Ovis aries: one gene and its partner. The protein of the gene in region 1 purifies or fractionates together with the protein of each later gene. This does not show direct contact. Links are inferred from orthologs where the notes say so. Each region holds a gene or a part of one and is shown on either strand. Other genes may lie near its edges. The genes, in order: FBXO7 and PSMB7.

Evidence for each region.
Region 2: the proteins of FBXO7 (region 1) and PSMB7 purify together in Homo sapiens (affinity purification with mass spectrometry; 3 studies listed by BioGRID and IntAct, counting the BioPlex papers as one, with this or other methods). This does not show direct contact. The link is inferred for Ovis aries from reciprocal best matches to the Homo sapiens genes FBXO7 and PSMB7.

Annotation. Positions count from the first base shown.
Region 1 is NC_056056.1:176,715,365-176,718,398, reverse strand, and holds the end of FBXO7 (F-box only protein 7), read right to left. Parts: intron 2,534-3,034; coding exon 2,144-2,533; 3' UTR 606-2,143; downstream 1-605. UniProt on the Homo sapiens protein: Substrate recognition component of a SCF (SKP1-CUL1-F-box protein) E3 ubiquitin-protein ligase complex which mediates the ubiquitination and subsequent proteasomal degradation of target proteins and plays a role in several biological processes such as cell cycle, cell proliferation, or maintenance of chromosome stability.
Region 2 is NC_056056.1:11,429,942-11,433,768, reverse strand, and holds part of PSMB7 (proteasome subunit beta type-7), read right to left. Parts: intron 2,144-3,827; coding exon 2,028-2,143; intron 1-2,027. UniProt on the Homo sapiens protein: Component of the 20S core proteasome complex involved in the proteolytic degradation of most intracellular proteins. This complex plays numerous essential roles within the cell by associating with different regulatory particles.

The DNA of each region.
Region 1 (3,034 bases):
CTATAGTTGTTTGTATGCTAAGATATTTGTGTTTGACCTTTTTCTTGTTGTAGGCAAAATAAAACTTGAATTTTGTGTATTTTAAGTCTTAAAAGCAAAATATTCTACGAATGATGAGGGTTTCTTTGCAGAACAAGTACCTGAGCAGCACTCAAAGCACTATACTTTGTTGTTAGAAGACGTCATCTACTTACAGGTTAGGCTCCAAGTATTCAAAACACAAGGAAAAAGAACCCAAACTCCACTCCAGAAGAAGTCAGAAACAGGAGTCCCTAACAACCCAATGGTGGCCAAAAAGCGCTATTTTGGAGCCCAGAAGTTTTGGCACAGAGCCTGAGGAGCAGCTGCAGAGAGGGGGGGAGGGGGCTGAGCTGGGGGGGTCCATTCACCTCACATCCAGTTCAACCAAACTGGCTCTACTGTGTTCATTCCATAGATCAGGCCTTTGCAAATAATTTCACGTGAAGAAAGGGTGCCGCTACAAAACAAAAATAATCCCCTGCAGCAATCTGATGACAATGAATAGCTTCTCTGATCATTTTCAAATGTCCAAGTAATACTGTAATATTACACATCTTTCTGTAATAAAAGTCAAGACTGCCATGTAATTTACACTTAATATTTTATTCTGGTATGCAACATTATCAGTGTGTAACCTGCATTCTAGACGGTAACTGAGAGGGGATGTCAGGAACCATATTCCCAAGGCCAACCCTGTCGAGCAAGTAACCTGTGAGCCATACCACTCCTGGAGCTTTAACAATTAGGTTGGTGCAAAAGTAATTACAGCTTTGCATTGTTAAACATTGCTGTTTGATATTGGAATATTCTTAAATAAATGTGGTTATGTTGTACATCATTTTAATGTGCACTTCTCACTTTATGTTTTTTTGCTAATGACTTGCTTATTTTATATTTTAGACTAGGGAAATGATGTTAGACAAAAAGCTAATTTGAGTGATTTTCTTATTCAAGATGGGTCGAAAATGGGTCCTCAGGCAGCAAGAACTTGCAACATCGACATCACATTTGGCCTAGGAACTGCTAACACAGTGCAGTGGTGGTTCAAGAAGTTTTGCAAAGGACACGAGAGCCTTAAGGATGAGGAGCACAGTGGCCAGCCATGGGAAGCTGACAACGACCAATTGAGACGATCATTGAAGCTCATCCTCTTACAACTACAGGAGAAGCTGCTGAAGAACTCAATGTCAACCATTCTATGGACATTCAGCATTTGAAGCAAATTGGAAAGGTGAAAAAGCTCCGTAAGTGGGTGCCTCATGAGCTGACCAAAAATCAAAAACATTGTCATTTTGAAGTGTTATCTTCTCATTGTACCAACAACTATTTCTTGATCAGATTGTGATGTGATGAATAGTGGGTTTTATACAACAACTGGCAACAACTAGCTCAGTGGCTGGACCGAGAAGCAGCTCCACAGCACTTCTCAAAGCCAACCTTGCACCAAAAAATGATCATGGTCACTGTTAGGTGGTCTGCTGCCCATCTGACCCACCACCAAATTTCTGAATCCTGACGAAACTATTACATCTAAGAAGTCTGCTCAGGAAGCCGATGAGACGCACTGGAAGCTGCAACGCCTGCAGCTGGTGCTGGTCGACAGCATGGGCCTAATTCTCTATGACGACACCTGACCGCATGCAGCACGACCAACACTTCAGAAGTTGAAGGAATTGGGTTATGAAAGTTTTGCCTCATCTGCCACGTTCACCTGACCTCTTGCCAACCACCACTTTCTTCAAGCATCTGAACAACTTTCTGCAGGGGAAACGCTTCCACAACCAGCAGGAGGCAGAAAATGGTTTCCAAGAGTTCATCAAACCCCAAAGCATGGATTTTTATGCTATAGGACTTCTCATTTGCAGAAATGTGTTGATTGTAATGGTCCTATTTTGATTAATAAAGATGTGTTTGAGCCTAGTTATAATTTATGATTTAAAATTCATGGTCTGAAACCGCAATTATGTTTGCACCAACCTTAATAAGTTTATAAAAGGTTTCTGTGAGTCCAAGTCCCACCATCGCAATCAGAAAACAATAGAGGTAGCACCCCAGCAAAATGACATCTGTAGTTTTAAAGAAACAAAACCAAAACAAGCTCCAGAGTGAGGTAACAAATCAGTCACATGAATGGTAGCCGGCTGTCAGTTGGCCAACCCCTGCTGGGTCTTAAGGGAAATCTGTCACTGGGGCCACCTCGCCCTGGCAAGGTGGGGTTAGGACCTGGAAGTGGGCCCACTGGGTCAAAACGTGGTCTGAGTGGAGGGAACTGGCTGGGTGTCTCCCCAGGCCCAGGGATGAGTGAATTGATTGGGTCCCCGACATAGGGAAGGGTTAGTCTTTGATCATATTCACCACCGATAATTCCTGGAGGGAGGAGAGAACTGGGAGGAAAAGGTCTGGGGTGCAAGGGGCTGGGGTAGAATGGAATGGGGTGGGGGGATGACGGCAGGAACATCGCGTGCCGCCCTCTCTGGGCTTCTTTCCTCTGTCTGTACCTCTTCTTGTACAGCTGCAGACAGATAAGAACAAGACGTGAGTGAGTTGGACACATCCCCAAAGTTCCAGCTGGCTTTCATTGTACAGATGTATACATACTTCTCTTTTCCCACAGTACGGAGGCAGACAAAGAAGCTAGCACACTGAAGGGAACTTCTACCAGTTTCTACCTGCATGAATAAGGTAGTAGCTGTGAACACAATGCCAAAGGCAGTCTAGTCTTTAACCACACTGCAGCTCAGCAGCTGTGCCAATCTGGAGTAACAACACATCCAGAGAAGGGATGAGTGAGTGACACGGACTCTCAAGAATGCAATCTAGCATTCTCAAGCCGATATGAATTTCACGTCAGCCTTTTCTGAAAATGGAAATTTTAAATATTTGTTGAAAATATCATGCCATAGAATGTAAAAAGTTACAGTATTGGCAGGGAAGGGCGGGGGAAGTCAGTACTTAAGTTCACTTTCTCACCTAAATTATGTCCCTAATAGACCTCAATTTAAATAACAAAATA
Region 2 (3,827 bases), about 170 Mb from region 1:
TGAACAGATGGGAACAAGCAAACTAAACCTTAAAAGTCACATCTTACTTGTGTATCTAAAATCGGACGTTACTGGTATCTTGCTCTTCTTAATCTCCTATGAAAGCAAAGCCAGACTGTGGAGAGTAACGATTTCTAAGCCGGGCGTGGAGCCGTCACCACGGACGCACGCTGGACTTGGAGGGAAGCAGGTCACTGCTGGCCAGGACGGGGCACAAAGCGGACTTGCAGGAACGGAATGAGCAGACACAAATCTGCTTTACTCACTTCCAACAACCTTTCCTAAGTTTGGGATGATGCTCATAAGACAAATTACTACAATTCAAAAGCAACAGAAACCAACTCAATTTTCCCATCGCAAAAATGAAAAGGCCTTGTATCAATGTTAAATTTTCTGATTTTGATGATGTCATCAAGGTGATGTAAGGGAACATTCTAAAGGATTTTGAGGTAGAGGGTTATAGTGTCCACAATTTACTCTCGAATGGTCACACACACACACACACACACACAGCAAAAATGCACCAGAGAGCGAGCAAGAATGTGGTAAAATGTTAGGTGACAAAAATGAGTCAAGGGTATATATGACTATTCATTGTACATTCTTGTTACCTTCTTGCAAGTGTGAAAAGTCTTTTAATTAAAAAAAGAAGAAATAAAACTACTTAATAGAAAAGACTATTGCACCTTTACTACCATTTAAAGGCACCAGATGGGGAGAAATAAAAACAGTATCTCGATGGAGATAACAAATAAAATGGAACAAAGAATTCAAAACATTTCTAAAATTAGTCTATCTTCATTTTAAAATAATTATTCCATATGGTATCTGGGGGCAAATCATTCTTCTCACAAACAGGGAACATCTGTTATATACAAACCTCATAAGAGGCTTGAGTATTAAACATAATGAAACAGCAAAGTCTCACACTAACAATTTTCAGACTATTCAAGGCAGCAGTTATCCCTGGCTCTGCAGAGCCAAGATACCAAGGCAAAAAATGTGAAAGTTAAACAACATCTAGAAAAACGCTGGTTACACATGGCCTGTTCAAATTTCTGGATATATGCAAAAATTTCACTCAGAAATTGAGCATGAGAGTTAAATTCAAAAATCCCAACTCTTCTAATGTAATTTTATCACTTTTTTTTTTAGTTATTAAAAAAAAATATTCATCTAGCGTTTATAGCTAAAATACAAATGTACAAAGCTGACATAAAAAGTGTAGCTACTATTTACAGAACAGGCATTGGGTCAGATGGTTTACATACATCATTTTTAATCATCATACCCTGCATGCATGGTGGGCATTACTGACACCATTTCAGAGTGAGGAAATCAAGGCTGAGAGAGGAACCTTAAATGTCCAGGATCCCTCAGCGACTAAACGGCAAACAGAGACTCTGTCACTTAAAAACTCTCTGCACGTACCAGGCCTGTTCCCCAAGGCAGGCCTCCAGTCTTCCTTCTGCCTGGGAGCCCCTTTCACTCAAACCTCACCTTCTTCACGAACCTACTGTAACCTTCCTGTTTAACAGTATTATCTGGCTTCCACCCCAACATTCTCAAGTCCCCTTACACTGCATTAATTTTCTTTTAACTTTCTGTTTTGAGATAATTGTCAATTCAGAGGCAGATGTAAGAAATAATAAACCAAGTTTTCGTACACTGTTAACTCAGTTTCCCCCAAAGGTAGTATCTTGCATAATTGTGGTATAATATCACTTACATTATGTTTTTTTCTCCTAGTATTTATCACTTTCTAACATAAAGCTGTTGTTATTGTCTGTCCACTCCCATTAAAATATAAACTCCTTGTAGGCAAGACACTTAAGTCTAAATTTTGTTCACTGCTATATCCCAAGCAGACAAAACAGGCCTAATCCCCAGAAGGAAATCAACAGATATTTGTAGAAGGAATCAAAGCACATTGTGCTGCCTCCTCTATCAGGAAATAAACCAGCTCTTTTAGAGACTACTTTGGTAAATAAGAGGATTCTGAAACATCAGGGAAACATTACACTCACCCATGGTGACATAAGGCAACTTATCAGTTGATCCATGAGGATAGATGCTGTAGAGGTGAGGTCCAGTAACATCTACTCCCCCCAAAACTAGGGCTGCACCAATGTAACCTTGATACCTGGTGATCAGAGCATGCATAAGAAAAAAAAAATGAGTCTACATTGCATCACTATAACTTACTCAAAAGTTGCACGAGAAGTCAGACAACAAAAAGTTTTTCTTTCACTACTACTGCTTCATTAAATAGCTACTGTTCTGATGGGGAAAAAAATAAGGAATGGAGCAAACATATTTGAACATCTATCAGTCAAAAAAAACTGTAAATTGTATGAAGCACCCATGTGCCTTACATCATCTCTGCCTCACAACTCCCTTCAAAAGAAGACACTATAGTTCTTATTGTAGAGAAGGAAAAACCAACCCAAAGTCATTAGAAAGTCTCAGAGCCAAGCGTGGCTTACTCCGAAGATCATGAATACCCCTCCCATCAGACCTCTCTGTGATTCGAAAATAAGGTCCCTTCCAAGTCAATGGTGAAATGTCGTTAAACTAGAACTGTTCAAATTATCAACCTCACCACAGGAAAATCACTTTTGTCAAAATACCTTTCCCTTGAATAAATCCACAAAATTATGGCAGATAAGAGCTCATACTGAATAAAAGAAAAAAGTACTTCATTATGCAGGGAAGTGAACCATGAAATAACTCCATGACAGTTTATAAACCCATTGCTACTGTCCACAGTTTAAAGCCATCTCTCTCAGGAACATGGGAGAGACATTTTCCACCTGACCCCATCTGTTTAATTCTGCACATATTTGCTCCTTTGGACCCTCTACTTGGTTGGTTTTACACTTCTACAGATTTCTTTCCCTATATATGGATCAATTTTTTTTACCATTAGAACTGCTATACTGGATAAACATGCTGGCTTTAAAGTTCTCCAGTGTAAGCCTTTGGCTCTTTGGGAAGAAAAATGAAACTAAAACATGTTGAATTTGCCTGATGATACAATCATTAAAATTGATACAAATAAATTAACACAAAAACCAAAGTCCTAATTTTAGACTGCCTGAGACAGTTACCTATCAGGAAGTGCTCTAGGTCAAGTCCAATACTTCCTGCATCCCTTGATTACCAATTCATTACTTCAAATCTTCCATTTATAAGTGAAAAAATAAAGAGCAGGGAAAGATTTTAGAAGCAGTCTCAAGAGGGAAGAGAGGCCCAGACAGGGGAAGAAATTGGTCCTAAGCCACATGAGCTGGCAACAGGTTCAAGAGTAGATCTTGGAACTCTGGGGTGAGAAGCCAGAGAATCACCAGACCCACCACTCCCACCCTAGCCCAGTGCTTGATCCACTATATATATATATATATATATATATATATATATCTCCTGCCAAATAGACTGTTCAGTTAAAGTCAACAATAACCAGCTAGTTTCCTTCCAAGCTAAAACATAATCTGCTTGATGCCTTTAAAAGAGTCTAAGCTATTTTGGCAAGTCAATGAAATCCTTAAAAATTGATCCAGAAATTCTATTTCCAGGAATCTAATTCTAAAAATATAAAAGGATAAATATGCAGAAATGAATTCATAAGAATATTTACTGCAGTAACTGTTTATGATGCTAGAAAAGTGGAAACAGAATTACCTAAACTAATACACCTAGCTATACAGCAGAATACTACGCAATCATTAAAGATCAGGCCATGAGTTTCATACACAACTGATGGTAGGACAGCTTAGAACAATCTTTCTCGGCTACAATCCTGGCAATATGTATTAAAACGTTAAATG